Linked DNA regions of Schizosaccharomyces pombe. The gene in region 1 interacts genetically with each later gene. Each region holds a gene or a part of one and is shown in the gene's direction. Other genes may lie near its edges. The genes, in order: sgo2, hrk1 and rec8.

The links.
Region 2: mutations in sgo2 (region 1) and hrk1 impair growth when combined (synthetic growth defect), as found in Schizosaccharomyces pombe (2 studies listed by BioGRID, with this or other methods).
Region 3: of sgo2 (region 1) and rec8, changing one enhances a phenotype caused by changing the other (phenotypic enhancement), as found in Schizosaccharomyces pombe (one study listed by BioGRID).

Annotation. Positions count from the first base shown.
Region 1 is NC_003424.3:3,710,321-3,721,713, forward strand, and holds sgo2 (shugoshin Sgo2), read left to right. Parts: upstream 1-3,821; 5' UTR 3,822-3,866; coding exon 3,867-3,903; exon of another isoform or gene 3,904-3,941; coding exon 3,942-3,981; exon of another isoform or gene 3,982-4,031; coding exon 4,032-4,264; exon of another isoform or gene 4,265-4,307; coding exon 4,308-4,375; exon of another isoform or gene 4,376-4,427; coding exon 4,428-5,993; 3' UTR 5,994-6,265; downstream 6,266-11,393. Other genes in the region: protein kinase domain and HEAT repeat protein Ppk3, read left to right, coding at 1,226-1,351, 1,401-1,541, 1,593-1,694, 1,747-2,607, 2,648-2,776, 2,827-2,999, 3,059-3,440; bud6 (actin-interacting protein 3), read left to right, coding at 6,486-10,643; SPOM_SPAC15E1.02C (uncharacterized protein), read right to left, coding at 10,990-11,393. UniProt on the Schizosaccharomyces pombe protein: Involved in chromosome cohesion during mitosis and meiosis by preventing premature dissociation of cohesin complex from centromeres after prophase, when most of cohesin complex dissociates from chromosomes arms.
Region 2 is NC_003424.3:1,028,304-1,038,740, forward strand, and holds hrk1 (haspin-like kinase Hrk1), read left to right. Parts: upstream 1-5,992; coding exon 5,993-7,459; 3' UTR 7,460-7,689; downstream 7,690-10,437. Other genes in the region: ssd2 (succinate-semialdehyde dehydrogenase), read left to right, coding at 13-1,494; histone acetyltransferase Hat1, read left to right, coding at 1,927-1,984, 2,035-2,138, 2,200-2,418, 2,508-2,623, 2,695-3,058, 3,115-3,390; coronin Crn1, read left to right, coding at 3,879-3,912, 3,955-4,007, 4,056-4,283, 4,325-4,413, 4,463-5,864; SPOM_SPAC23C4.04C (uncharacterized protein), read left to right, coding at 7,730-8,040, 8,094-8,205; nuclear bridge Ish domain protein Les1, read right to left, coding at 8,530-9,758, 9,813-9,879; efm6 (methyltransferase), read right to left, coding at 10,363-10,437. UniProt on the Schizosaccharomyces pombe protein: Serine/threonine haspin-like protein kinase involved in cell cycle regulation. Acts in chromosomal passenger complex (CPC) targeting to centromeres by phosphorylating histone H3 at 'Thr3' (H3T3ph).
Region 3 is NC_003423.3:2,560,898-2,571,493, forward strand, and holds rec8 (meiotic cohesin complex kleisin subunit Rec8), read left to right. Parts: upstream 1-8,040; coding exon 8,041-8,096; intron 8,097-8,105; exon of another isoform or gene 8,106-8,139; coding exon 8,140-8,327; exon of another isoform or gene 8,328-8,379; coding exon 8,380-8,476; exon of another isoform or gene 8,477-8,528; coding exon 8,529-9,778; exon of another isoform or gene 9,779-9,818; coding exon 9,819-9,913; 3' UTR 9,914-10,096; downstream 10,097-10,596. Other genes in the region: ATP-dependent RNA helicase Dbl8, read right to left, coding at 1-2,230; guanyl-nucleotide exchange factor Muk1, read right to left, coding at 3,029-3,851, 3,900-4,285; oxidative stress transcription coactivator/ribosome recycling protein Oxs1, read left to right, coding at 5,537-6,070, 6,179-6,268; atp7 (F0-ATPase subunit D), read left to right, coding at 6,804-7,331; origin recognition complex subunit Orc1, read left to right, coding at 10,265-10,596. UniProt on the Schizosaccharomyces pombe protein: Involved primarily in the early steps of meiotic recombination. Required to ensure reductional chromosome segregation.

The DNA of each region.
Region 1 (11,393 bases):
TTTAAGGATAACTATAATATTGGGATATGCAACGTTATTAAAAAAAAGCTTTAACAATTTTTTTAAAATATACTATACTTATAAGGATATCACAAAAAATTTTCGTTTGTATAATAAGATTAAAAAATTTACATTTTCAATATGATATCGTAATAAAACCGATATATTGCTAGAATGTTTGTAGCTCAGATTATCATTTATAAATAGGCGAAATGTCATTCTGTCTCATCAAGCTTACCCAAGTACATGCCATTAAGCTTTTAAAAATAACCGGATAATAGGGATCACATTCATGAAATACTTCAGCAAAAATCCTCATAGTTAATCATACTAGCGGCGGCTGTTTAATTTTTTCGATTAACCAACAGACAAACAAAGCACATGTTTAAGACAATTTTGGTTTTCTTACAAAAATATTTGATCGTGCCAAGACTCGAACTTGGGACCGTCTGCGAACTGTAAATGTTAAGCAGAAATTATAACCATCTAAACCACACGACCATGGATTATTCATTCAACACATAAAATATATCTAAACGGATTCTTAAATATATATATTGATAAAAATGATTATTTGTTATTTAATATCTACCTAGGAATTTGAAGTTCTTGGCTAGCATATTACCTGCAATTAATTACTATGTGAGTTTCCTTAAATATAGCCGACCAAATGACAATATATTGGGATCCAAATTTTACCCTCAATAAAATAATTCTGAGATCACACTTTTAAATTAATACAACATACGCTTCTTTTCCACACGGTAAACAAGATAACTAGTTGCTTGGCAAATTCAGCATATATTTTCGTCAAATCGAACAACACGTTGTAGAACAGCCATCTTGCTTTTGTTTATTAAGGCGGTATTTTTCCTCTACCTTTTTAGCAGTGGGATTAAAGTACTGTATAAGTAAATAGGGAAATATTATATGAAGTTAGAATCTCTCACTTACTTCATTTCAATTTATGGCATTTAAGCATTTACAAAGAGTGCTCCAGTACAAAAATATCTCAAACCAACATTCAAAAAAACTGCAAAACTAACGTCGTCTTTGTAAACCTTAAGTAGCTGTAAATAATCCAATTTTGCTTCTTAATCCGTACCCATCCCCTCAAAACACTTTTACAGGTTAGCTTGCGTGGGACAACAACCTCCACACTGCGGCATCAATACTCGATGGTAATCGACTAAAAGAGGTTGATCCCTTACTACACTTTAAAATAATGGATTTTATAAAATCAGCAGCTTCTTTTATTGCAAAAGCAGGTTCTCAATTCCCATATGACTTAAATGAGAAAATCCCTCTTTCTTCTAATTCTGTATGGACACTACAAACGGGATCAATTAGAGTAAGAGACAACGCTTTTCTTTATTCTAGTACTTACAATTTTAATGTAGGAGTCTGCCCAGCCGTGTAGCGTTTTCTCTATTTCTCTGTCAACTCATCCTGAATGGGCTGAACTTGCTGACCGAGCTTGTGAGACAATGAAGACCCTTCGTCATCCTTGTATAATCAAATATCTAAGTACTTATAAAAGCGTAAGTCTAATCTAAGCCTTTACATATTTTTCCTATTTACTAATAGTTCAGTCCACTCACTTGTACATTGCAACGGAAACTGTAAGACCTGTCACAACTGAACTGAATGAACTATCTGCGGAAATAAAAACTTACGGCCTTTGGAGGGTTTCGGTATGTAATTTGAGTTCAAAATGTGGATTAAAACTAATTTAAACGTGTTTAGGCTGCATTGTCATTTCTCAATGATAAAAATATTGTTCATGGAAACCTTCAAATGTCTTCTGTTTATCTTAATAGTGCAGATGAATGGATAATAGGCGACTTTTTCTTAGCAGGTGATTCACCACAATTTATAAAGGATAATCATGACAAAATTCTGAACTGGAGTCGGTTGGTTCCGTTTGAAATTCAGTCTTCAACATTAAATAGTGCTTCATTCATTTACTTGGATTCTTATGAATTGGGAAAGTTCATTTCTCATCTTTATAATGGAACGCCAGGGGACTTATCTCAGCGTGGAAACATTCCAGCCAATATATTTGTTTCTGCAAAAAAACTGTTGAATGTGGAAGGAAAGCAAAAGTTATTAGCTTCAGAATTTCTAAAACTTGGCGAGCGTCCTGGGGGGTTTTTTCGTACACATTTGATTACGTTATATGAACTTTTGTCCGAGGTTCGAATAAACGAAGAGGAAGATAGAGTGAAATTAAAACAACTTCTTTCGTCAAAGCTAGAAGTAATTCCTAAAAACTATATACAAAAGGTTGTATTAAACATCCTCTTTCTACTATTATCGATTGACACCCATTCGGACGTCGTTGAGCTTCTATTCAAATGTGCTCAAATTGTAAAAGGAAGACCGGATATAGAAAAAGACTTTGGAGTACCGTTATTGTCTCTTTTGAAACAACAAAGCGTTCCCATACGAGGCTTGCTACTTTCCGGAATCATTAACAATCCCGACGTGCTACCAAAGAATATATATGAAGACACTAGCTTTTCAGTTTTCGCGAACCTTGTGCGCTCCAATTCTCCCACCTTAAAAGAACATGCTATTGTTGTTTTTTCCATTATAGCACCAAAAGTAAGCCATCTTATCTTACAAATTGCTAATTAGTATACAGCTTTCGAAGAAAACATTGAATAATGAACTACTACGAAGCTTAGCGGTTGTCCAAAATGACCAACATCCTACTTTACGTACCAACAGTACCATTTGTCTAGGTAAAATTGCTGAATATTTAGATGCCAGCGTAAGACTAAGAAGAACTAAACGTTAGGACTTTATTTTTAACAGATTTAGGTGCGAAAACCCGTTTTAGCTGCTGCTTTATCACGTTCTCTTAAAGACCCATTTGTTCCTGCTAGAGAGGCAGCCTTAAAAGTACTCCTCTCAGTTCAAAATTACTTTGATACAAAGGATGTGGCCATCAAACTTTTCCCATCGGTGGTGCCATTACTAATTGATGAAAACGAGTAAGATTTTTTTGAACCTGTATACCACTTAGGAATTACTAACTTTTTGACGTTATTAGAGGAATACGAAGAACAGCTGAGGATGTCACTGACCAATTTTTGAGCCGTATAAAAAACTTTAATTTAGGGGAAAAAGAAAATGTTTCCGCACCGGCAAAATTTAATGGTTCTTTTTGGTCCAAATTTATTCATTCATCTTCTGCTTCTCCTTCGCCTTCTATCGATATGAAAAAGGAGTCGCTTGAGTTAAAAAATGATACCACTGAAATAAAAGAAAAAAAAAATTCAAAAAGTAGAGTTGTTGGAAACACTGAAAACTCTAAGGATGAATTCAATAATCCTCTTTTTGAAACAGAGGAACAGATAGACGAATCTTGGATGGAAAACTGGAATGACGAAGAGGAAACAGAAAATAACGTAGAGGAAAGTTGGGGGTTATAATTTGATTGAATTTAATTAATAATTTTTCGTGGTCAAGATTAATTCACGACTAAATCACATGTCGACTAAGTACTCCATGTACTACTCGTTTTGACATATTTCAATCAAGCTTGATTTTTAATAATTAATATTTTTAATAGCTAATTATTTTTCTCTTTGAACATTTATTAATACCACTGAAAGGATTAGTGAATGGTAGTTCTTTCTTTAGTTATCTATCTATTCGTAAATTCAAAGTATAGTAAATGTAAAAGGATTTTAATGTTCTTTTCAAAGAGTGTATCATTAGTAGTCAAATAATTCGTACTTCGACTATCCAGCACCTCTACACCTTGTTGATAATGATACTGCTGTACAGCCGCGTTTAAGTACTAAACCTCCACCGGGAACGTGGTCAATGAAGTACATCGGGATTTTCTATTTATAATGTCGAAAGCATCTCTTTCCCCGAACGTAGAAGACTGTACGTGATACTTATATTAATCTCAACTGATGAATTAGTGAAAAAAAAGCAAATTCGACAGTATAAGGAAATTATACGGTACGCATACATTTTTGTTGGAATTGAATAATTAATTAACACATACAAAGAATAAGCAAGGCACAATCAATTAGAATTAAAGAATTGCAGTTAGAAAATGAACGGTTGCTTTCGGAAAATATCGATTTGAGGACTACAGCGATAAACTTGGAAGAGCAACTCGAAACCGTGCAAAACGAAAACGAAGAAAACAAAACAAAGTTAGCTGCATTACTTAATCGATTTCATGAAGAAACAGATAATTTTTTATCAAAATTAAGTCTTTGTCAGCAAGAAATACAAGGTACGTGTTTGAATTCATATCGTTTTTAGCTAATTGAACACAGACACCTTCAAACCAGTGGAGGCTAACTTAGCTTACGATGTCGATACGGATTCTGAAGACCTTGACGAGGTAAGTTGAATCGTATTATGTTTTTCAGATATGTTTATCTAACGTCTGAAAGGAATCCGTCGTGAAAGATACCGAAGAAATAATTGAGCAAGCTCAGCATGATGTTTCCTTACGAAATTTAAGTGGAATAGAGGATGAAAATATAATTGATGACGGAGAAACTGCTATAAATGAACAAAAAAAAAGAGAAGCTAATGTTTTTTCCGACACGCAATCAGCACCTCAGCTAAAATCCGGCAAAGCCCTCCCAGCTGATTTTGAAAATCCTTACAATCTATCCAATTCGAAACCTGTAAATAATAATAATGAAGATAGAGTTGAAGCGGTTACTTCTGAAAATAAATCTATCGATTCTGCTCCTCAGGAAAAAAATCATGAATACGAAATCGTTAGTCCAAAATCATTATCCAACAAAATTAATAATCAAGCAGCTGCACAAAGAAGAACCGAAGAAGATAATGCAAATGGAGTTGCTCAAGAAGAAAATGAGGGTTCACAAGAAGCTCATTTTCATAGCAGAATACAATCTGATACAGTAATACAAAGTACACCCACTAAACGGAAATGGGACGTTGACATTCAAAATAAACAAATTAATCTGGCTTCTGCAGCTACCAATGTTACCGGTTATGTATCGGAGACCGATAGTCGCCCCAATCGCGCAAACTCTTTGGATTCTGCTGTCCTTCTTGTGCAATCTTCAAATAAAAGTAACCGAAATGGGCATCATATTTCAGATCCTAATTTAAATAGCTCCATATCGTTGAAGTTTGCGCCTGAAGATACTGCGCATAATTCATTAACTTCACAAGAGAATGTTGGGCCTCAGGTTACGACGACTTCTCTGTCAAATATGACTGTTGCTGAATCTCCTCGTACAGACACTCCAAGGGAAATAAACGGGTTAGTAGACTCTTCTGTCACTAATGGGAACGAAAAATTTTCTGTAGAAATAATGAATGACTCTAACAAAATTGGACTGAATCCTAAATCTTTTACCGACGAAGAGCGGGAAATTTTAACACTTTTTCGAAATCCTCCCATGAGACTGTCAAGTGAACCTCCATCTTCAAATGGATTTTCAATAGCCCATCCCAATAATTCTCCGTTACGTCCGCCATCGCTACAAGGAATATTGAATGCTGAAGATCGACCTTACGAAATTGAGCCGTCACGTAGCTCCTTTGCTACCAACGATACGGGCTCCTATAATAATTTGGAACTTCTGTCATCTGTAACGAATTTGAAATCCCCTAATGAGAACGATCGTGTGACGAAAACTCAGTCGCGAAGAGAAACAAAAGTGAAAAGGCGAAGAAAAGCTCGGATTCAAGAAACTTCTGAAGAAAGTACAGTAGTCAATGAGCCAAATGAAAAACCTGATGGAAGGAGCCGAAGGGAACGGAAAAAGGTTAATTACGCTTTGCCTGGATTAAGGACGAAATTAAGACGGAATTTCGATTTACCTTCAGATCATGTAAAAGCTAAAAAAACGAGACGTGCTCCTAAGAACTCTGAGAATGATTCAGCTACCAAAACAGAAACCGCAAACATTACTTCTGAAGCACCCACTACTTCAGAAGTAACCCTTGAAAACTCCGAAACCCTTAATTTGTAATATTATGTAATTAAATACCTTTCGACATCGTTTAGTTGGTTCAGATTTTTTAAGTGGAGGTATGCGTCAATTTGAAATAAAAAGTCAATATTTTGGGAGTTAACCTTTGGTATTTCATATTACTTCTTTCTTTGTTTATTCACATTTTGTTCTTGTCATTAACGTTATGTACAAATATATGGTTTGGTTAGTTAAATACAATAAACAGGTGTGTAAATATATTATAAAATTACTTAGCAATCCTCACAAATTCAATTTACTATGTACCTTAGCACATTCATCAAGTAGTCCATTTCTAGTGTACCTCGATCGCCCTCGGTGGAAGTACTAACCTACGCAACTGAGTCTAATAAGTCAATATTCTTATGTTTTGTATATAACAAACCTAATTGGTTTTGTGTTTTCTCTTATGTTTATTGTTTTAAGTTTAAGTTGAACTTTCAATCCTTTTTTTGCGATTAGGATCATTGCTTTACTCATCTATTGGGACCAATGTTTAATAACGGCGATAATATGTCTCGTGAACGTTTTTCTTCCAATCATTCAATGCAAAGACAAAAGACTGAATCTCGAGCAAATTTTTCTCGAAGATTAGTCCCTTCCGACTCAAATCGGAAGCCTGTACCTAATGGCGCGTCCAACAGCCCTTTGTCAAGAGATGCAGCGTCTCATTTAATTAGTACAATCGAGACATCGATAATGAAGCTTTTAGTTGTAACAAAGGAGCTTCTTGAAAGCTTAACAAACTGGAGCAAAGGTACAGTTAATGATAGTGCTGTTTCATCCGTTTATGTTACTCTAATAGGGGAATTCCTTCAGACAACCAAGTCCTTTCATGAAGCTGGTATTGAAACTGCAGATTTAAATGATTTTCCGCTAGAACTCAGATCAGTCCTAGAGCAAACACTGGAAAAAACACCATCTTCTGATGCTTTGGAGACCAATCTTCCTAACGTAAGGGAGCTGGTTATGCACCTCCTACAAAGCTTGAAGTATAAGCAATCTCTGGTTAAATCCAGATTAAATCAATCTAGGTCAAATTTGCCTCAAATGACCCGTGAAGCGAATGATAACGATGTTAATCGCCGTAATAGTCGTGGTTCTTCCCAAGGAAGCATATCATCATTTAGAAATCCTGATTCGAGAAAGCAATATGAAGAAACTACGAGTGCCTCATTAAGTGCTCCTGGAGCCTTTGATGCATTGAAGCAGACAAATGCTCTCGAACGCCGAGCTAGCAAACGACTGTCACACATGGTAAAAGACCAGCAAAACAATGAGGGATCTTCTCAGAATTTGAGGAATATCACTGTTGAATCTGTCAGAGGCTTTCTTCGTGATTCCTCAAAGCCAGACAATATAATGGACTCACCGTCTCCCAAAGTATCTAAAAGGCCATCTATCGTTAGACAAGATAGTCATGATTCAAATAAGCTTTCAAGAAGACCTACAATAAATACAAGTTTTGATAGAAAGTTTTCACCAAAACTTACTAGAACACCTTCTTTGACTAAATCATTAGATCCTGGAACACCCACTTCTTTAAAAAGCCCTTCTCTTCGAAAAAGCCCCAGTTCTTTCGTACAAAAGGATGTATACTCTCGTTCTAACTCTTTAAGAATAAGTCAAGCAAATCGAAGTAATGTTTTTCCGGGTGCAACTGATGTAACTAGAAGCGTGTCTGATCATAGAATATTAAGTAGCTCAACCATCAATGACGGAGAAGTCGCTCCGCCACTTCCCCAACGATCAAGGACTATCTCTTCCCCTAATAGCCCATTATCTGCTACAGTCCTTCCATCTAGTACTCCGATTTTATTGCCCAGAGGTCGTTCTTCAACACTATCTGTTAACAAAAAACAATTTAATGCAGATGATGGTTCTACGTTGAATTCGCCGAATTCCATTCGTGAAACTGAAGAATATGCTGCTTCGCCAAAATTGGAAGATATCGCTGATGAGGTTGAGACGGATGCCACAAGTCAGAGGGAACTCCTCGAAAGACAAATTCAAAAAGCAGAATCCTCAGAAGATACCTCTGAAATTGAAAGCTTACAAGGTAAACTTTCATTACCCCAAGTTTCATCTACTCAACAGGAAATACAACCTAGCAGTAGCGTCCCTGAAGCAGCTTCAAATGAAATTGCAGAAAAAGAACCTGCTGTTACTGCAATTGAATCAATAACTGAAAGAAAGGAAGAAGCCCCGGTGATATCTAGTTCTGAAAAAATTGAATCTGGTACGAGTATAAGCACTTCAGATACAAAAGGAGGTTTAGCAAATTTTGAAAACGATTCCTTAGAAGAGCTGGAAAGACTTATACAACAAAACAATGCTGAACAAGATGAACCATCTTATAAATTCCATAAATATGAATATTCATCCGAAGAGTCTGGTTCTGAAGATGAGTTTAAGAGCGAGAAAGATACAAAAGGCTATGTAATCTCTAACGATGACTCGACACAGGTTGAAGAGGATTCAGAAGATAAATCGACTCCAAATACAGGCGCATCTGCCAAATTAATTAACGACCCTTCATCTACTATCACTGTATCTGATGTCTACCCTAAGAAACCTGCCTCTCCTGTTGAAATAACGGAGCCGCCATCCTCGGCTCTTGTATCTGCTACTTCTCCTACTACTAATGTTCCCATCGTTCCCGAGGCCGTCCACCTATCTACCGCTTTTTCTACTGCTCCTGTATCTACGATTGTTTCCAATATTTCTCCTTTACCTACCGTTGCTCCACCTAATGTTTCAGGGTCTCCAAGTGAAACTCCTATTTCAAAGCCGGAAAAGGTTCCTGTTGTTTCTCAGACTGAAAAGGCACTCCCAAAACCGTTGGGGGTAGATACGGAAAAATACTATTTTTTGCGTTACAATAACCAGACCCGAAAAGTCAAGGTTGAAAGTCCTCTATCAAACGCAAATGAGCTGGGCGAACTTTTCAGTAATGTATATAAAATTTCATTTAGTGGCGATTCTTATGAACTAAATATTGAAGACCCCGATACTAAGATAAGTTATCTGTTAGAAGATCTCTCGGACCTTAAATACAAGTCACTAGTTTCTTTTATGTTTAAAGAGCAAGATGCTAACAAGAAGAGGGAAGATTTCCATTCCGGTGAGGTCTCTGCTATTCAACATTCATCTGCACAAAACACTCTGGATGATCATGTTAATACTACCACTCATGAAAGTCCTTCTTCTGCTTTTACAGAAATTCTTGAGCGCTTGAAAGCTATTGAGCAAAATATTTCAACTAATCACACCAACGACTCAGCTGCACTCAAATCGTCAGAAGACCATTCAAAATTGGCAAATAACTTTTCTGTCCCTGATAGTATCGACCACAAGTTTTACCAACAAGTTAAGAATATGCAACTAGAATTGGCTTCTCTTAAACAGATTTCGGCTGCTTTCTTCACCAGGATTCCGTTAAAGATAAAAGATTTTAAGAAAGAGATAAATGCGTTTAATGAAAAGGGATCTCTGGATTTCCAATTTGGAAGAGGATTTGTTTTAAGCAGCAAGGACAGGATTGAACGGGAAGTTAAAAACGTAGTTGAAAAGTTTGATGAGGTAAATGATCAGATTGAACTTATGCGTTCTGATGTGCTGTTGCGCAAAGTACGACCAGGCTTAGATCAAACATCTCAATTAAATGAGGAAAGCGCATACTTGGAAAAAAGGATTCAAACCCTTGAAAGATCTCTTGAGGAAGTAACTCCAATTTGGAAGAAGCAATGGGAACGAGAGTTAAATGCAATTGTACAAGAGCAAGAATTTCTGGATAGTCATACTGTTCTTATATCAGATCTTAAGAGGGATCTTTCCGCATTATCCACTGTCCTTTCAAATGTTTCCGCGATAGCTGAATTGCAAGCCAAGTCCTCCATTAAAAGCAAACCCTTAACTTTGAAAACTGCCACTGAGTCTGAGATTAAAGGTTATCGTGATCAAATTCAGCTAGAAGTACTAAATCTAAAACCCGACAGTGAAGCACGACTACAGGCTATTGAGCGTAGTGAACTGTTGCAGAAAAAACGACTGTTGCAACGAGTAGATGAATTTTCAAAAGAAGTTAAAACTTTTGTTGAGAACGAAAAGTTGAATAAGATCGGAGGAGCGGAAGAGGCTGATCGAATTCGAACAATTCAAGATGAAAAAGTACGTAAAATTCTATGGGATGACTTTGTGTCATCGAAACGCAATGGAAAAAATGGAGGTAGTTTCATTGAGGAATCGAGTGACACTGTTTTAGACGAACATGTTGTGCCTGATAATTCTGCTAAAGCAACTGTTGCAGAAATAGACTACGGTTCACAGGTGGATACAGAGAATTTTATGTTAGAACGCAGTCCATTGGCAACTCCAAAGCCATTGAAGCAACCTGATTTTAATATATATGAGACGCCGATCGTCCGTAGTACAGCTCATGAAACAGATGATGAACAAACCCCTTCTAAATACTCCGATAACAGAGTCGAAAGTTCTAGTGATACAGTGTTTGAGAATACTGATCTTAAGTACGATAACAATGTACAGATGAGTAAAGTGACTCATCATGTAAGACACGATACGATATCCACTGATGACTATGACGCTTACGAAGATGCCGAAGATGTTGAAGAGACAAGCCTAACTTAATGTGCATAAGTTTTATTCGATTTGGCAATGATTGTATGCCAGTTTGTGTATTTTTTTTTTACTTTTTTTAACTTTAATTGTTACGAGAGAAATTACCCTGTATTACACTAGGACTGATGCAAATCTTGTGAATCAAGGATTTGCTGAATAGAGTTACAACATACCTTAATATGTACAGTTATAACAAGCAAAGGAAGCTTCGATGTTGTCCAATACCACTATTGGGATACTATTTTCACTTACAGTCTAACCAAATATGAGATAAACACAGAAAAGAAATCTTAGATATTAAAGAAAATTTGATTAACTTGTCGTTTTAAAAATCAGATATTGAACCATCGGAATCTTAAATACGACGTACGCCGTAACCGATCAAGGCAACACTTAAGCCTACTGATTTCACTAGAGAAGATATAGTTTTGACAAGGATGTAAGGGGTACCTCTGCTTTCTGTGAACATATAGTCGACTACGTCGGGCAATCCAGATGCACCAAATACATAAAGACCCACGAAAAAGGCACCTTTGAGTGTCACAGTGCCTGTAAGTTGCAACAATGCAGCGATCGAGTACGACTGAACTGCTGTACTAAGGAAATTGCTAACATAAGTTGTAGCAACCTTCTTGGTTTTACTTCCAGCGTCATATTCGACGTGAGGTGCAGTGCTCATTGCCCTTTTCCAAATATCGCCCATTAGGGGTCCATAAACGAGGAAAGAAGCAGCATGGTCGAAGGCAATCCCCAAGAGAA
Region 2 (10,437 bases), 2.7 Mb from region 1:
TACTCTTCAAAAATGGCCCCTCAATTCAAACGCCCTGAGCTCTTTGGCTTTGATAAGTCTCATGCTCAATCTTTTGTTCAAGGAAAATGGATTTCTTCTCCTAACAACAAAACTTTTGAGGTTGATAACCCAGCTACTGGTGAAATAATCGGTAAAGTGGCCGATGTCTCAGTAGAGGAAACAAAAAAAGCCATCAGTGCCGCTAACGAGGCCTTCAAAACTTATAAAAATTTTACTCATGTCCAACGTAGTCAGTTATTGGAACGCTGGGCAGAGCTTATTATGGAGAACAAAGACGACTTGGTCAAGATGCTTACCTTAGAAAACGGCAAGCCTTTGAGCCAAGCTGAGATGGAGGTCACCACATGTAGCGGATATCTTAAATGGTATGCTGCTGAAGCCGTTCGTACCTTTGGCGATGTAGCTCCTTCCAGCTTACAAAGTCAAAACTTTCTCATCTCCATCAAACAGCCAGTTGGTGTCAGTGCCTTGATTACTCCTTGGAACTTCCCCGCCGCCATGATTGCTCGTAAAGGTGGTGCCGCTTTGGCTGCTGGTTGTACCGCTATTTTCTTGCCTGCTTTCCGCACTCCCTACGTTTGCTTAGGTTTAGTCAGGTTGGCGCAAGAGGCCGGTTTCCCTGACGGTGTCTTAAATGTGATCACTTCTTCTGATGCATCTGCTCATGGTAAAGAACTGACTACCAACCCTATCGTTCGTAAGGTTTCCTTCACTGGTAGTACTAATGTCGGTAAAATTCTTATGGGACAAAGTGCCAGCACAATCAAGAAGGTTTCAATGGAGTTAGGAGGTAATGCCCCTTTCATTGTATTCCCTGACTTCCCCATTGATCAGGCTGTCGAATCTTTCTGCACTATCAAGTTTAACTCTTGTGGTCAAGTTTGTGTCTGCCCTAACAGAGTTTACGTTCACAAGAATGTTTACGACGAATTCGTCAGCAAGCTTACCGAAAAAGTCAAGACCATTAAAGTAGGAGATGGATTTGACTCTTCTTCTGCTGTTGGCCCTTTGATTTCTCAAGATGGATGCAAAAAGGTCAGCAAGCACATTGAAGATGCTGTTTCAAAGGGTGCCAAAATCACTGTTGGTGGAAAGGAGATTTCCTCAAGCAAAGGTTATTTTTTTGAACCAACCGTGCTCTCCGGTGTAACTCAAGACATGTTGGTTGCTAGCGAGGAAACATTCGGCCCACTCGCCTCTGTCTTCAAGTTCGACGACACCGAAGAGGTGATCGAATGGGCTAACGACAGTGATGTTGGCTTGGCCGGTTACGTCTTTACCAATAACTTGTCCACAATGATCCACGTTGCCAAAGAACTAGAGGTGGGTCTTGTAGGTGCCAATATCGAAATGGTTGACGAACCATTTATTTCCTTTGGCGGCATCAAACAGAGCGGTTTTGGCAAGGAAGCCGGTCGTTTGGGCGTTCAAGAATTTATGGTGGTTAAGGAAATCAATCTCAAGACTCTTTAAGGATTTTCGCTTTAGAAAGCTGCATATTATTGAACAAGCAATGATGTCCTCTTTTGGTTAATGACTAAAAAATCCTGATGTTATGACTGTTTTACATGTTTGCGATACAAATCGTATTTTAGTTTAATGATATCAAAAAAATTTAATACCTGAACATCGTGGGTCATCGATGAAGAATGGATTGTTGTGTCAGAAAATCTATACTTGTAGTTATTGTTCTGAGCAATCTGAAAAGTTATAAAGAATTGTAGGTTCTAAAATTGGCAATACTGGAGCTAGAAATCTATATAATAGTAAATATTTTTTAATAATAACAGGTGTAGCACGTGAAATTTTGCGTCGCCTTGTAGTTTGTTACTTCCAACTAGACACATGTATTTTTTGTTGTTTGACTTGAAATAGGGTCAGGTATTCAATTTTCCGTATGCAGTGATGAGTGCTGTTGATGAATGGGTACATAATGCCAATGAATGCATAGAAATTGTACAAGGTATGCTATGTTAAATTATAATGTTTTTACCTTGTGTTAACACCTGTCAGTAAACGAAAAGCATGAAAAAGATTGTCAATACCATCCTAGCAATACATATGCAATATTTGGAGATGCTGAGGTTATTTATGGATATAAAGATCTAAATGTCACTGTAAGATTAAATCAGCAAGTTTTAGTCATGAAATTTGATTGCAAATAGTAACAGTTATTAGATAACCTATGAATGCCCATTGATGGTCCCAAAACTGGAAATCTCATATTCAGAGCGCCTAGCACCAGATTCAGGAGTGGAACCAACTGATATTGAAGGAACATTAAACACTTATCTAAAAGATCGTTCCATTAAGGTTGAAGGAAACTCATTTGACGTTCATTCGGCAAATAGTATTCATAACTATTCCTTTAATGGAAAAACATTCAAGATTTTACAAGTATGTTCGATTACCTTTCAATTGGAGAAGTATTCAATTATTGAATATCCCTATATGTTCTTTGGCTAATAATCGTAATGTATTAATAGGCAACGGTTCTTGAAGCTAGTGAGATTATGCAGCATTTGCAAATATTTTCCTTATTTTTTATTGAAGGGGGCTCTTTTATTGACCTTAATGATCCAAGATGGATGGTATATTTACTGTAAGTTTGTTATTTTCTACGCGTCTACTTTCCTTTTACCTTTTTATCGAGGTTTTATTAACAAAAATAAGTTACGAGACTACTGAAGATGATTATTGCTTACGTGGTTATTGTACTGTATACAAATATTATAAATGGGACAAATTAATTCACGATGGTATTCGAGCTCGTATCTCACAATTCGTGATTTTACCCCCTTTTCAACATCAAGGACACGGTTCGCAATTGTACAATGCTATTGTTAGTACCTTTTTGAAAAATCCTAAAATTTTAGACTTCACAGTTGAGGATGCATCGGAAGCGTTTGATAGCCTTAGAGACCATTGCGACTATAAAAGATTATTATCAATGGGAATATTTTCAGAACCTGACTTTCATCCCTCTCTTTCTAGGCAGTGGATAAACTCGAAAATAGCTGAAACAAAGTTAACCCAGGTTCGTAATTTGCTAAATTTACCATGCAATGCAACTTACTAATTGTCTTTTTTTAGCGTCAATTCTCACGCTGTTGTGAATTAGCATTTACAACGAAACTAAAAAAGCTTTCATTATTGGAGCGGAAATCTGTTAGACTAGGAATAAAGGAAAGGATTTTTCGTCAAAATCTTGATGTGTTGCTACAGTTGGATAAGTCCGAACGTATTGAAAAAATTCATAACGCCTATGAAAATCAGTTTGATGAGTATAAACAGATTGTCAAAAAGCTACCCAAGCTTAAGGAAGATTCGCCTCGAAAACGCCAAAAACTTGCTCAATCTTCTTCCTAAATGAAAACACTTTTAGAGATCTGAAATACTTTGAGAATATTGAAGGCATATTAGCATAAAAAGTTATGAGAATCGACTAAATTACACTATTGGACGCAATTACTTTTTATATAATTTGCTTTTGAAAGCTTTCGCTTGAAATGATTAAAGACATTTGAAACAGTGATCATTTTAATAATATAAATTTTGTATATATTTTGCAAATTTAGTGTGATATCTAGTTTAATAAAATCTATAAAGGCACCTTATAAAAATTCAAACAATTCCTCATAATGAACTGCTTTTTCCAAAATTTAAATATTTTAATATCTACTATCAATAATATTGGTTATTTTCAACGACCAGTACAACTTTAGGTGCTTGTCATTCTCATCCGTCCTCCTTCCTATTCCGATCCCGACTTTGTTCATTACCTGACACCCCGGATAAAGTTAGCTCAATTAGCAAATTCTCATTCGATCTTATAAAGGAATTATTCTTTTTCAAAAATGAGTGGAAGATTTGTGAGAGCTAGTAAATATAGTACGCATGCTTTTTGAGTAAATAATTATTAACTGACGTTAGGACATATCTTTGGACAAACCTGCAAAAAAGAACTTTGCTACGACAACATAAAGGTTGGTCGATACTTTAATGGTTTGAAATTTACTAATTGTCTTCAATAGCTTAGCAATAATGCATGGGATTCTAACCTATTGAGTGTGAACCCCTTTTACCTCAGTGTTAATTGGAATGCGGGAGCTGGAGGTGCATTGGCAGTTATCCCTTTAAACGAAAGAGGAAAGCTTCCCGATCAAGTTAATTTGTTTCGGGGCCATACTGCGGCTGTTTTAGATACTGATTGGAATCCCTTCCATGATCAAGTATTAGCATCCGGCGGTGATGATTCTAAGGTATCCTGCTATTTGACTTTATTTATGTATTAACGAATTAGATTATGATATGGAAAGTACCAGAAGATTATACTGTTATGGAGCCTTATGAAGATGTTCATCCAATTGCTGAATTAAAGGGCCATAGCCGGTATGTCGTACATTGCATTAGGGTTTTAGTTACTGACTTTTTTGTATAGTAAAGTTGGTCTTGTTCAATATCATCCCACTGCAGCGAATGTTTTGGCATCTTCTAGTGCAGACAATACTATCAAGTTGTGGGATTGTGAGAAGGGTGTAGCCCATGTATCTCTGAAAATGGATGTAATGTGCCAGTCTATGTCGTTCAACGCTGATGGTACCAGACTTGTAACAACTTCTCGAGATAAGAAAGTTCGCGTCTGGGACCCTCGTACTGATAAACCAGTCTCCGTTGGAAATGGTCATGCAGGTGCTAAAAATCCCCGTGTCGTTTGGCTCGGGAGCCTTGATCGTTTTGCTACAACTGGTTTCAGTAAAATGAGTGATCGTCAAATCGCTTTATGGGACCCTACCAATCTGTCTGAACCGATAGGTGGTTTTACCACATTAGACACCGGTTCGGGAATCCTTATGCCATTCTGGGATGATGGAACAAAGGTAATATATCTAGCAGGTAAAGGTGATGGTAATATTCGCTATTACGAATATGAAAACGATGTTTTCCATTATTTATCTGAATTCAAGTCCGTTGATCCCCAACGAGGCATTGCCTTTTTGCCAAAACGCGGAGTTAATGTTTCTGAAAACGAAGTTATGCGTGCTTATAAGTCCGTGAACGATTCTATCATTGAACCTATAAGTTTCATCGTTCCTCGCCGATCTGAAAGTTTCCAAAGCGATATTTACCCTCCAGCCCCATCTGGTAAACCAAGCTTAACAGCTGAAGAATGGGCCAGTGGGAAAGATGCTCAGCCTGATCTTTTAGATATGTCTACTTTGTATGAGTCTAAAGGTACTGTTGAAAAGGCTGTTTCCGCTACAGTACCCTCAGCTGGTGCTCAGGTACAAAAACATAACGAAGAGAAGGTTGAGACACCAAAGCCCGAAGCTCAGCCAGTTAGCAAGCCGAAAGAATCGGCGGAAGAACAAAAGCCTTCCAAAGAGCCGGAGGTGAAACCAACTACTCCTTCGGCATCAAAAGTAGAAGAACCATCGAAGAAACGTGATGAGGATAATCATCAGAAAGAAGAAACTGTAACCCAGCCCAAGCGTGAGAAAACACCTGTTGAAAAATCTTTTCCGAAACCAGCTAGTAGCCCTGTTACCTTTTCAGAAGATGTAAAGAAAGAACCATCAGAGGAAAAGAAATTGGAAGTTTCTGACGAAGCACCCAAAGCTGCTCCTCTTGCCGAAAGTAAGAAAGTTGAAGAGAAAGAACCCTTTTATGTTTCAAAAGATAAGAAAGATATTTCAGCAGTCAATCTGGCCGATCTCAATAAACGTTTCGAAGGTTTTGAGAAACGATATGAGGAAGAACTCGCAATCCGAGACTGGAAAATTGCCCAATTGGAGGATAAGCTGGCTAAATTAACAGAAGCAATTAAAGAAAAATGTAATTAAGTTTTTTTGTGCATTTTTTATTTTGTCCAGAATGCTTTTTTAAACATATCACTAAGCCCGGACATCATGCCTTCTCCATCTCACCTCCGTACCTTACTACCTCAATATTTACAAATGTAGGAAAAGATATGGAAAGTCGTTCAAAAGTTAAAACTTATGGAAAGAACCGTAGATATATTAATAAAGATATTGAAATTTGGGCTTCTTTAGATGAACGGCCTTGTGCTTTGAAACCTCGGAACATTGAAAATTTTAATAACCAAGAAAGAAGTGACCTTGAGCATATTCACTCTAAACCGAAAAAAGATTCATTATTATCTTGGAACATTCTCTTAAAAAAAGGTTCATACAAAGAAAATGAGTTATTGGCGAAACGAAATCAAAACCTGGTACCTACTGTCATAATACCGGCTTCTCCTCGGGATAATGCATCAAAGTCGGTAGTCAGTAAAAAAGAGGTTGTAAATTTGTCATCTTCTGTTGCTTTATCCGGAAAACCCGCAAATAATTCCAAATTAGATCCACTTCATCGGCTCCTCCAAATAGTAGCGCAAGAAGACGCTCTTCCATTCAGTCAATTTGTTAAGTCTCAGACTTTTGAGATCCAAAAAATTGGCGAAGCAAGTTATAGTGAAGTATACCAAGCCAGCAATGCTGATGACGTTCCCGTTGTTTGGAAAGTTATCCCGTTTGGAGAAGACGGACAAGCTCAATATGCTGATGTCCTAAATGAAGTACAGATTAGCCAATGGATAAAAGTCGACGGTTTTGCAAACCTTCATCAAGTAGTTGTCGTTAAAGGTACTTATCCTTCACTTTTATTAGAAGAATGGGATCGGTATCTTATGCAAAATGGTTCTGAGAACGATCGACCAGATAGCTATTCATCAACGCAACTTTATTGTGTTTTATGTCTTGATCATTCAGGAACAGATCTGGAACATTTTGAGCTCCGTAGTTGGCGAGAGTGCTGGTCGGTTTTTTATGAAACATTAAAAATTCTTTCTTTAGTTGAAACTCGTTATGAGTTTGAGCATAGAGATTTACATTGGGGAAACATTCTTATTCGGAAAGCTGATCGGAGTGAAGAGGAAGTTTCGTTTCTTTTAAATGAAATATCGCTTGACGACATTGAAAGTGTCGATTTTCCCGGCTCACAAGATAAGGCTGATGATTTTGACAACATACTTCAAGTTACGCTGATTGATTTTACATTAGCCCGAGCATCGTATTCTCAGGGTATAATTAGTTACAATGAATTTAACGACCCCGATCTGTTTAACGGTGTAGATGACTACCAATTTGATATATATAGGTTAATGTCTAGAGTGACAAAAGGAAGATGGGCGCAGTTTTTTCCCATTACAAACGTTTTATGGCTGCATTATTTAATTCATCAACTTTTACACAAAAAGAACTTGTCATCGCCGTTAACAGAGACTGAGACGCTTATGAGAAGTCGTCTTAAGCAAATATTTAGGCTTATTGACCCTGTTAAAACAATGCAGTTCCAGCAGGCCGAAGACTCGATTCGCTCTAAATCTACAGTTACATCTGCAACTTCTCTCCTCAATTGGGTCCGTCAAAAATACTAATTATGGTTTTTGCATACTAAAAAATTGAACGGCGTTCGCATTTTTTTAATATTCCTTTCTTTTTCATGGTATGCGTTGCTAAAATCTTATACATATGTACTTATATTTTAAATTTTGGACGTCGAAGTGAACTTTTTTGGTTATTTTTTTTCTTAAAGTTGACCATTTTATGTGGGGTTTTTGTTGTACATAAAAAATTACATATCTTTGACTAGCAAAACTTATAAGTAAATAAGAATTATTAACTGTTTAAATCACAAATGAGTGTACATGTTTTGTTATTTCCTCAGTAAATCCTATGATGATTGTAGTCGCTATTATATAATTTCCAATATGGCTTTCTATTTCCCAGTTTATGATTCGGACTCTCCGACTACAGTGCACCATGATGAGCGGAAGGAGTCGTGGCGGTCCCATGGGTTTATTGTTTGCTTGCACATTAGGTGTTGCATCTGCTGTAAGTATAATTCAAAAATTAAAAAACCAAGCTTGAATATAGCGCTGAGAATTCAATCCCTCAAAATAATAAAAATACTAATCTTTCAGTTTTATTCTACAAAACCACTTTGGGATAAAAATAGGTAAATTGAATCAAACATTTATAAAAATGGCTAACTATAGTGGGGAATGATAGCCCAGAATATAAGCAATTGCGTTCGGAAATTGAAGCTACAAAACGTGATGAAGAGGTAAAGAACGGCGAACTTATCGACCCCAATGTAACAACAGAAGACGAAAAACTTTGATCAGGGTTTATATTAAAACATTTTTTGTCTCATCATATTCGATTTTGTTTCATGAGAAATCTTCAACCTCATTAATATTCTGCAAAAAAAACTTACATACTAAGTAACTTTGTAGAGATTATTATAACTGTTCCGTAAAACTACCCATTTTATTATTTTTAATAAACTAGTACTAAATGAGAAAAAAGCAAATCTGAGTTAAGTATCTGTTATAATAAATGGCAACAAAAAAAAATAAACTAGAAATATACAGTTAATGAACAAGGCATGGCTCCAACTTCGAGTGGTCAATTTTCAATGGTACATTACCGACACAAATGGTATTTACTGCGAAAGTACAAAAGCCCTTTTAAGCGAGTTACCCAGGAATGTTTGCCAATAATGTATTCTGTTCAAAAAGGCAGGACCTCGTAAATAGTAATACAGGTGGGGAAGTAATCGTTCAAAAGCTTTGGTAGATGAAAATGGAACGGGGACAAGTTCGCCAAATGACTCCAATTCCTCTTTGAGTTCTTCTTCGGTCCAGGTAGACTGTTTGGAGACAGAAGGATGTGAGTATAAAGAATCGTTTAGCGATGCCATGTCAGAAGAGCTCCATTCAGAAGCAACATCCATATAAAATAATTTAGCAGCATGAATAAGTTCATGACGCGAGTTGTAAGCAACATGGGAAAATATGGAACCACGTTTATTGTACTTCCAAATCCAATCTAATAAGTCCTCAGACGACCATCCATCTAGTACGTTGGAGGCAATCATTACACGCGGTGTGAAGCGGTTAGCGTATGCTTCTTTCAAAAGAGTTTCCCGAGGTGAAAGAACAGAAATAGGAATGTTTCGCTCTCGCAAAAAATCAATAAGTCTACCGTCTGACCATAAGTGAATAATTTCTTTCATATATGGTGCAGGCTGGCTATCTGTAATATTTGTCACTTTGTCTTGCGATTTTCTTTCCTCAATATCGTAATAACGTCTAGCCAAGACGATTAGGTCGTCATGTGATGCACCAATTGGTACTGTAATGTTTTTCTGATCCAACATAGAAAGGAGTAGATTATTTGACCAGGATTCCAACTCATCATTGGTGGAAATGGCATCGCCCATTGATGCTTGGAAAACTGTTTCCAACAACTGCTCTCGGGTTCCAGGCTCTGGAACTTCGTACTTATTCTTAATAAGCCATCGAGAAAGCTCGGAGTTGGTCCATGAATTGAAAATCCAAACGTCCAATTTTTGTGCGTTATGAGAAGCATGATTCTTCTCCTTCTCATAGAAAGATTTACATTTGTCGGTTACCTTTGATACATACTGTAATGGCTTCCTCCAAAACTGTGAAGGAGTCTCGATAGGAGGAACGTCCAGTGACTTTACCCCATGATTTTGGAGAAAGTCATCAAGCTTTCGTTGAGGCCAAGAATCGGCTGGTCCTCCTATTTTCCCCTTTTCTCTACCGGCGTAAACGGTTCGCTGAACATACTTCGTAGTTGTACTAGGCGCATCATGTATATCAGCTGCAGTCGCTTCAATAGACGATATGTGGCCTGTAATCTTGCCTAGACAATGCCGGGTCAGCCGCTGTTTCTGTAGAAAAGCAACTCAACACTTACCAATTGACAGACAAAGCTGTATTCCTAATGCCAAAAGCGCTCCGTGTAGAAGAAACCTTGGCTGCATTGTATTTTTCTATGTGTTTGGGTGAATGGATGGTGCGTGATGCTTGATGGGTATTACACTTGGTATGCGCTGCTATATGACGTAAGCCGAGCCAGTTTCAAGGCATACAGAGAACAGGGTAAATAAAGCAGAATAAATAAAGGAAACTGCTTTATATAATGTTGAGTTGTTTTTTTATCAAAGAATATGCTAAATCATTAAATTCGCGCCAGTCGTCATAACACCATTCAAAAAAGCTGGAAGCCGAAATTCAATTTTACAGAAAATGTACTTTGCAGAGTTTACATGGGTTCCCAAGTTCGCTGATAGTTTAGATGCAAAATTGGTTTTATGCGATGCTACAAATTTTATAGACCGTTGTGTATAAGAACCCGAAAAGACATCTCAATATAAACATGCTGCTACAAAAAAGTTACGAGATTCGCAAGTTGACAGATTCAGCAACGCATCCTAAGAGAAAAATGAAAATGATGCAAAGTAAATTTATTTTTTCTGTAAAATGTAAATAGTGATTGGACCACGTTCTTCGTAAACAAGATCCAACCATCCCAATATATT
Region 3 (10,596 bases), on another chromosome or scaffold:
TATCGTTATCCGATAATCCAAAAATGAATCCGTTAACTTCCTCAAAAATATTAATGAGCATATCGCAAAAATCAAGGGTATCCCGCATTAAATCAACTAAATTGTCCTTATCATGAACTGGCCAAGTAGGAAGAACAATGAAAAAATGAGTAAAGAATTTCCATAACGATTCCCAGAAATTCTTAAGGGATTCTTTCTTTTCCACTTGTTTTGCAAAAGTCGCATCCTTAGAAGTTAAGCCATCAACAGAGTCAAAAATAGTGTTTATAATTAATTTATTAAAATAAACAATGTGCTTGGCTCCTCCAAAGTTTCTGACTTTAAGCCACTGCAGAAGAACATAACATGAAGAATTTAGTGTATTTGAAAACTGGCTTCTCAATAGCTCTCCTATAGTATCAACAACGCTGTCAGAAAGCGAAATAGATTTAATAATTGAGATACTTCCTGTTGAGATCTCAAGAATTGGAGAAAAAACGAGTGAAAAGATTCCACGAAAAGTTAAAGGATTTGAAACCAATTGGGTTTGTGCCGACAAATGCCAACATTGAGTCTGAATAAGCATTTCAGAAAATGTTGCAACAAATCCGTTTAGTGCATTTTCGAAATCACTTTTGAACGGAATGTCAACTTTCTTAGGCGGCAACTTATCAATCAAGCAAACTGTAGAGCAAGCACGAAAAACAATACGAACCATAAAGAACTTCTCCTCTCGAAATACGTTTTGCAAATATACCCAAAAATTTTTAAAAGACTCACTTACCGATTTGATATTCAAGGGTGGCTTTCTATTTCTGTCCAAATAATGGCAATAGAATTGCTTCAAAATATAAAGATCTAAATTCAATCGGTATTCAAAAACTTTCTTAATAAGCCTCCATTCAACAGACTCTTCATTTTCCAAGTTTAGCAAACGAAACAGCTCGTCAAACTTAATCGCTAAAGTGGAATGTAATTCAAATACTTTGTTTTGTAAACTTTGATCACTATGGGGGAAAATCATAAAATATTCGGAAAACAAAACTGAAAATATGTCAGCAAGTGATTGAAGTAACTGAACATTTTTGAAACCGACTTCCAGTTCCTTTTTATATTGCATGGTGTAATTAATCAAAATTTTGTTAATTAATTCAACTTCATCAATGATTGAAATTGTCTTCAAAAGAGAGGTAGCCCATTCAAACGGATTCTCTGCCTTTTGGTCGTTTGAAAAATTGGATGTATTTTCTTCTGTCCACCTCTTATAAGCATTACCATTAAAAATTTTATCTATTACTTCACTGGGAGAAATTTCTGGCGTCCAAAAATTACGTCCATAGCAGTATAACAAAGAATGTAAACATACAAGGAAAGACGGACATAAATTAGTATGGTCGCTTTGCAATCCCGAAAGAATAAAATCGGCGACATTGAAATTTTTTCCTGTAAGTCCCCTAAAATAAAGATGATCAACATGCTTTAACAGCAACGATAAACCTTTCAGAAAAATTTGCATCTCGTTCTCATTTTCTTTCTTCTGGTCTAAAGAACGAATTTCCTGAAGAAGGGGACCCTCAAGGATTTTAAATTCATTATCGGAGATTGTTTTTACATCACTTAAAATACTGCAAGCCCATCTTCGGAGCTCATCATCTCTCGAGAAGAGAAGACTTATGACACCTGGCACTAGGTTTTTCGAGAGCCGAAGAAAACCGGACTCAAGAAATCTGTTTCGGAACAAGGGAAAGATTTCTTTATTATGTAAAATACGAGGAGAGTATAAGATTTCGTAGAAGGCGCATAGTATAGGTTTAGAGGCCGAGGACGTGTCGATTTTAGGCACTGTTTTGAGAACTTCCTGTAACCGAAAAATGTCCCAACTATAAATTTTCTCCATTACAATCTCAAGAGTATTTGGGTCAAAGTGAAAAATGTTTAAACATAGACTTTTGAAATCATCTAAAGATTGGTGATATTTAACTATACATTTGGGGCATAACTGAAGGCGTTCGTTCAAATGTTTTTTGAACCATACCAGATACTCGTTATCATTTTGAAAAGAAAATAGAAAAAGACATTCACGAACTGCTACTTGTAATTTAGGATCACAAACCCAATGAGGGTTTTGTCTGTTAGTATTTAGGTATGAAAGCGCCAAATGCAAAACTTTATTGGACCCTTCGAAAGATGGGTGTTTTTGATTTTCCTGAATTTTTCTTATTAATCTATCAAAAGCCTCGTCATTTTCCATAACCACAAGCTAATGCTGCATTCTCACTCTCGAAGTAGACTTATTAAAGCGCGACTGCAATTTTTCAAAATCTAGGTTTCTAAGGAAGTAAATTACACTATTCACTATAAACATTTAGTGCAACCAATCATTTGATGTCCACACAGCACTCGATTATCGCATTGAAATAAAATAGCCTTAAGAGAAATTTTAAATAAAAAAATGAACGTATATTTTGAAAGTGTATATAAATTCATGTACCAAAATCACGCTTCTTTATTGTAATTAAGATATATATGATTATCCGAAATATATTTTAAACATTACTATATATAATGTGACAACTTAAAAAACTTTCTTACCCATTATAATCCGAAGTTTGTGATTGTGTGTTTAATTCCTAGTTTCAAATATGACTATTTTCTTCACTGAGCAAAGAATCACAGTTCATTTTATTCAGTATATTTAAAAATTTTGCAGTAACATGATATATTCGTTTCATATATTTCCTTTGTAAGGATTTAATTCGCATGCAATCTTTGCGTCAACATACAAGCTTAAATCATTTTTGCTAGTTCTTTGTGATATTCATACATTAATAAAATAGACGTCAAGGAATAATCAATCCTTGTTTTGAATAAAAATTTTCTTTTAAACTTTTAAGCTGTTCACGAATTGACCTGCAACAAAGAAAAAAAAAATATTGATCAATCATATAACTTTTCTATATGACTTTGTCTCTCAAATGAATCAAATAACCATAAACAAAGCCGAAAACCAACTGGATGTGAAATTTTTAAAGAAAATATTCAGTCAAAATTACTGATTACCATTTTTCTCAAAAAGCAAACGTGCGAGGCGCTTATAGTCAGAAAGAAGAAGTTCAATTTCACCGATTTTAAGATCGCTAGCATCAGAAACAGTCAAAAAGCGTTCCAAAGGTGGGTCGCCCACGAATTCTACAGAATTGGAAGAATCTTCTGAACTTTTGGCAGTGTGATTGGCTACTTTACTAAGTAGAGAGGCATAAGATTTCTCAAGTGCTAGTCCCAGATTTCTTAAATTAGATAAAGATGAGCGATTCACAGGGTAGGGTTCTGCACTCGGATCATGAAGCGAGTTAGAGGTCGAAACTGTTTCGCTATTAGCTACCTCAAGTGAAAGAGGATCATCAGAGGGTTGAATTGACGATTGAGTTAAAAGATTTGGACAAGCTCGAAGAATAAAAGTAAGGGCTGCCTCAAAAGTTGTGAGACAGTATCTTTGCTCTCCGCTTAAAAAATCTGCATTTCGAAAGCGTAACACAAAATTCAGGTGCGATATTAAATGAAATCCGGGATAACAGAGAATGCAATATATGGTCAAATTTAATAAAGAATCAGCATTCAATTCTTCTTGAGGAAGTTGAGAGGCATTCAATATACTTGAATTAACGGTCATAAAAGTGTTTATTTTCGATCTAGGTGTGTGTTGCTCATCGAGAGCAAAAAATGCTTCAGAGACTTCATGTAACCGGTTTGTAAGTTTTTCATCATCAGGTATTGGAATGCAATTGATAAGTTCTTTCTTTTCTTCAGAAGCAATAAATTTTTTTAACAAGTCATCTTTGGCAGCATCCGTACTTGTAGATAAACAGAAAATCCTAACACAATATTAGTAAACAGTTATTGTAGGCGAAGTAATCACATACCGATCATACAAATATTCGCAAACTATATCTTCAATTTGGTCCATCCATTCATCTTTTTGGTTCAGCAAGTGTTGTCTCGCCTTTTTCTGAGCATCTATTTCCTCAGGAAACAAAAGAGGCACATTTTGATCTTTTGAAGAGGGTTGAGGGATAAGGGTTGAAGCAATAAACTCATCGGTATGCTTGTAAAAGTTTTGAAATGCTTTTGCTAGTTCTTCAGGCGAAAGCAATTGAGGGTGAACCGGACTAACTAGAGAAGAGATAAACTGTATCACACATGCTTGTACAGTAGTTGGAAGATTTGATGCAGAATTTGGGAGTTTGATGTCTTCTTCCTTAGGCTTATTTGTATATTTAACAGCTCTCCAAGAATTCAGAAAGCTCATCGAAAGGAACTTTTACGAAAGGTGATCAAAAAGTTTAATTTTCAAAAATAAAATTAAACGAAAAAAAATTCTATATATACATGTAACTAAGAATATGTTAGCATAGGGTCTAATTCAAATTTTCAAATTTATATCAGATAGGATAAACAGCAATCGAAGGAACCGAGTACGAAGTATTCGTTGAGAGTCAAAAATATAACAATATATCCCTAATAGAAAATATACATCGTTTTAAAGCTATAAATGCTAGCAATTCCTTCTTTACCTTTGTCGTATGACAAGTTTTCAAGTAATTGTCAAAATATAGAGACACGAATTAAAAAAATAAGAACGTTGATTAAGAACTTGATATAAAATGAAATAATAATCAGAGGTAATGCTTACTTGACTTTAACTTATAAACCCTTCAAAATAGAGGAACAGTGCTGGTAGAACCAAAATTGATATGCATTCATGTTTCGGCATAATAATAGCGTATACTCGTTAAGAAACCGTATACTGTAAATGTAAATAATAGGATGAGTAAATTTAAGTGCTAAAAAAAATAATTTAGAATTATAGATTCATTAATTCCTTTAACAATTAAGATGATCGGAATGTTAGTTTGTACGTTATTTGTATCGAAGATGAAGTTTAATACTTATATAGATTACAATAAACTAATCAATACTTGAAAGCAATTGTTCACTGTACGATATTGTTGAATAATTTGGCAAGAATAAGCATTTAATTTGATGATATATTTTACTTTTTCAAACTTCATGAAATACACATCGAAGTCCATAACAATTGTCATGATATAATATTGTAATTGAAGAGTATGATCAATTTACATCGGTTGACTTTGTTTCTCTTTTTAATGAGTTATCACTGTTAAGAATGCCATCATGTCATAAAAAGGATTTATGGTGTATTATGCAGTGTCTATACCATTCAATATACCCTTAGCCTGCATCAAGGCATTTAAGGAAATAAATAGTAGCAGATTTCCAATTAAGAACTTTTATTTTCTATTTTAGTGATAAAAATTCAGTTACATACCAACGTTTGACGCCGTTTGTTCAGTGTTATCAATACACCTTTGTAAATACACTGATAAAAATAGGGAGATATAACGAGACATTCACTTATAAAAATTATCAGATCAGATTATTAATCCATCCTTCGTCGCCTTTCTTATAACGAGGCGGCATATAGAAATCACCTGTTGTTCAAGTCATTCAAATCTCACATACCATTAATAGCCTTGATATGGGGAATCCAAAAAAGAGAGCAGAAAAGGCCGAAGCGGCAAAATCTAGAAAACAAGACGAGGAAAAGAAAAAAAAAGACGCTGAAGAAGACGAAAAATGGTCCAAGGGCGTCAAAACTAATAAAAAGGAGCAAGAAGCTGAAAAACGAAAAGCTGCGTTGGAGAGGAAAGCTGAACGTGAACGTTTAGAAAAAGAAGAAATGGAGAGTCTTCCATCTAAAGGAGGAAAGGGGTCAAAGAAGGCTGCAAAGAAGAATTCATCTTTAGACGCTTTCCTCAACGAAACCCCTCAGACAGCTTCATATAGTGCCCGCAATATTGATGATGCTTTGGATTTGTTAAGTTTAAACAATTCATCGTCCAAAGATAAAATTGATCGTCATCCTGAACGTCGGTTTAAAGCAGCTTTGACAGAATACAAACAATCTCGTTTGCCTGAACTACGCAAAGAACAACCGGGCCTCCGTTTAAACCAATATGAAGACATAATGTATAAAGAATTTCAGAAACATCCGGACAATCCTTTCAATAAGGTAAGAAGCGATAAGGGTACATGCATACTCTTTTTGATGATGACCATATCATGTATAAACCCTAAACAGGAAAACCATTGTAAATATCATTTTTACTAACAATTTCAGATGAATGTGAGCTATAACACTAGTCAAGATGAGGTTGAACAGCTTCGTAAAGCTCGTAAAGCAGAATTGGAAGCACGTTTACGCGAGTAACTATAGTTATGGCAATATGTTTAGAACTTTTCTTTTTCCTTTTTACTATGGTAATTCTTTTATATTATTTATAAATTATCAATAAACCAATTACTAAATAATTTTTCTCGACATTCAAAAATGAAATCTTAAATTAAACATGAGAAGTACAAAGTGATTTGGTGATACACCGGTAAATCAAAATTTACAGCTAACTTTGAATTTCTATTAGCACAAGAATGAGTGGAGCGTATACTAATTGTAGGGCACAAGTTCTATTCTAACCGCTTAATTTTTTTTTTTGTAGTAATTTTGTACTTGTTGCTTTCATTTACCCAATTATATGATATTTTTTGAACCATTAAGGAAGCCTACTGCTGAAAGCCAAACCACCTGGCAATATGGCTCTGGCAATGCTAAATCATCCGTTCCCCAACTACCCCCATCTCTTCAACACATAACCAAAAGCAGGAAATATTTATAAGACAGTTAAATTGTTTAACAATATAACTGTTATTTTATTGAATTTTGAATTTTTTCTTCTTTATTTACGCAAATGTCGAAAGTTGCTAGCGCTGCTGGAAAGGCGATTGATTGGGCTAGTGTAGCTAGCAAGCTGAAGCTTGATGCCGCAACTGCTTCTGCTATTGCTAATTTTCGCTCTCGTCATGCTCAGGCAGTTGCCAAATTGGGTACATTGCGAGAGCAGGCTACCACAGTCGACTTTGCTACCTATCGTAGTGTTTTAGCCAACAAGGAGATTGTAAATCGTATTGAGTCTTCTATGAAATCTTTTAAACCTGTGAAGATTGATTTAAATTCGCAACTCAAAGCGATCAATGCATTTGAAGCAAAAGCTAGCGAGGGTGCTAAGAAGAATGTCGAACTTGTCAAAGCTGAATTACAGAATTTGAGTGCTACATTGAAGAACATTGAACAAGCTAGGCCTACTGAAGAAATTACCATTGAGGATATGAAACAAGCAGTTCCCGAAATTGAGAAGATTGTTGAAACAATGGTTACCAAGGGCAAATGGGTCATCCCAGGCTACCGTGAAAAGTTTGGTGATTTGAGTATTATGTAGTTTGCTCCATTAATGAAACATTTTATAACTAGCAATCATATGTGTTATCAATACAAATAAATGTCAGTTGAAAGATAGATAAAATTTCGGTATTTATGAATGGTTTCAAGCAGTATGTTGAAATGTTTAACCATTATTATTAAAATTCTTTTATTGAGTTTCAAACTTCTTAGTACAACTTGAATGACTTTATTTAACCTATTATACAAACATCGTTCACAGCATAATAGTGCGTTAAAAATTTCCACGATCTTTTAATAAGCTATGTCAACTTACGTTAAGTTTTGTTATATTCGTATAATCTCTATTCGATCTAGTGGCACAATAATGAAATTGCTTGTACAATATTAACTATGGATACCTTGGTAGGAGAGCTCAAGATTGAAAGGGCACTAAAATCACATATCTTAGCTCAATTATTAATCATTAGCTTCCATTACATTGTGTTTTGACTCAATCAAAGTAATGATATTTAAATATTCAATCCTTACTTAGATTTTAATAAGACAATATATATTAGCAATGGAGACTTCACTGCAGTATACGTTGGATAACATGTGCCGAGCTGTTAAGTATTCGTTAATAACGATTTTATGTGAGATTAGCTCATATGGTTTAACAATGCGGTATTTCTATGCTTGAACTTCAAATATAATTTTGACGCGTTTAATAAGCTATCTGGTGAACTAACGCGTTCCTGTCTTTCACCATGTTTTACAATCAAGATGTTCTTACAAAGGAAAAGGGAGGAATGGGAGTAATTTGGTATAGATTTACTACAAGATAATAATAAAGCTAATAATTATAGGCTCGCTGCTACATTGGGTTCAAAACATTCATTACGCAAGCTTCACAAGAAAGACATTATGTCGGTAGATATCGATGAAGCTTGCGATTTTGTTGCCTTTTCTCCAGAACCGTTGGCACTACGATTAAGTAGTAATTTAATGATTGGTGTAACGCGTGTATGGGCCCATCAATACTCATTTTTCCATTGTATGTGATGACAGTAGTTTAGGCTGGCAATTTTCTTACTAATTATGCTTAGCCCAAGTTTCAACTCTTCATTTACGTGTTCGAAAAGAATTGGACCATTTCACTTCAAAACCGTTTAAGAATATCGATATTCAGAATGAACAAACGAAGTACGAGTACTATTGGATAATATGACAGATATTCAAATTGCTAACCTTTTAGCCCAAAGCAGTTACTACTCGCAGAAGATCCTGCATTTATCCCTGAAGTTAGTCTCTACGATGCATTTAATCTACCTTCTGTGGATCTACATGTTGACATGAGTTCTTTCACTCAACCCAAGGAAAATCCCAATATTTCAGTTCTTGAAACTCTTCCAGATTCTACTTCTTATTTGATCAATACCAGCCAAAATTATAGTTTACGAAACAATGTTTCGAGCTTTGTTTACGAGGACTCCAGAGCTTTCTCTACAGAAGAGCCCCTTGACTTTGAGTTTGATGAAAACGGGGATATCCAGGAATTGACCAAGGGCACTATAAATTCGGATCCGTCGCTACAAGCTGCTTCACAACATAGCAATCTTGGTTCCGTTCAAAGAGAATACAATAGTGAAGAACAAGAATCAAGGATTCACATGTTCGAAATCGATGAGGACGTTTTACCGTTACCCGTTCCATTGCAATCTGTTATGGATTCAGAGCATAATGAAAATGAACCGCGAGCTTTAAAAAGAAGAAAGGTCCAAAAACTGCTGGAGCCAGATGAAAACATAGAACTGTCTACTCGAACTTTGTCCCAATGGAGAAAGAATTATGTTGAACGAATGATTGCTTTGGAAGCAACAAAGTATGTTCGTCGTAGAGGAGCTTCTTCGGCAAAGAAGAAAGAATTGAACAAATTCTTTGATTGGGAATCTTTCCATCCTCTTTTAAAACCATGGATTGAAAAGCTCAAACCATCAAACAATACTCCCTCTGAAATTGACGATGTATTGAGGAACATTGATACTTCTGAAGTTGAAGTTGGACGGGATGTTCAGGGTGAATTAGGTTTAAACATACCTTGGAATACTTCATCTCGATCAAACAGTGCCATAAATTCTAAAAGCCATTCTCAAACTGGTAGTGAGCATTCCACCCCCTTGCTTGACACTAAATATAGGAAGCGCTTGCCGCATAGCCCATCGATGCCGAGTAGGGTAGAATTTCTTCCTGCCTTAGAATCAAGTCAATTTCATGAAACTCTGAACTCAGAACTTTCATTACAACTCTCTGATGACTTCGTACTATACAAAAATACTCAAGAAGAAAATGCACATTTAATGTTGAGCATGGAAAAAGAATGCGCAAACTTTTATGAGTATGCAAAAACGGCTATCTATGAAAATAATGGGCGCATAACATTTTCAAGCTTATTACCCAATGATTTAAAACGACCTGTAGTGGCCCAGGCATTTAGCCATTTACTGTGTAAGTATCACAATCAAACCACGAACTAACAAAACAATAGCACTAGCAACTAAGTCTGCATTTTTAGTTAAACAGGATAAACCATACTCTGAAATTAGTGTCTCTTTAAACCTAAAAAGCACCGATGCCATTTGAAACTTTTCACATGTTAAACTTAAAATTTTTAAAACGTTGAATTTGGGAATTAAACCCTTTGTTGAAGTTGTCAAAATAATTGACTATGTAATAACATTTAAATAGTATAGTATAACACTTTTCTTAGATTAATGAATGATAATGCTAGCGGATAAATAATTAAAATTAATTAACTACTTACCAAATTTATCTAATTATTATATCTTAAAATTGTGGTATATTATTTGTTGGCTGTTGTACATAGCATGACAGTAGCCTCTATAGTATACGAGTCTTGTTAGTCCAGCACTACAACTCAGGATAACTTTGACCATTGCAATGTTGATAAACTAGTGTTGAACTTCTCTTAATATGCCTAGAAGAAAGTCATTGAGGAGTCAACTATTAATTAACGGCATTGATAAAAGTCTGCTATCTGATGACAGCGCTGACAGTTCTGATATTGACGAAGAGGAAGTTTACGGTGTTTGGACTGAAGAGCCCTTTCAAAAAGAGGCTGGACGTTCTTATTACAGATCTTTAAAGAAAAACGATGTAATATATCGCGTTGGAGATGATATTACTGTACATGATGGAGACTCAAGCTTTTATCTGGGGGTAATTTGTAAATTGTACGAAAAAGCAATTGATAAGCATTCTGGAAAGAAATATGTTGAAGCAATTTGGTATAGTCGAGCTTATGC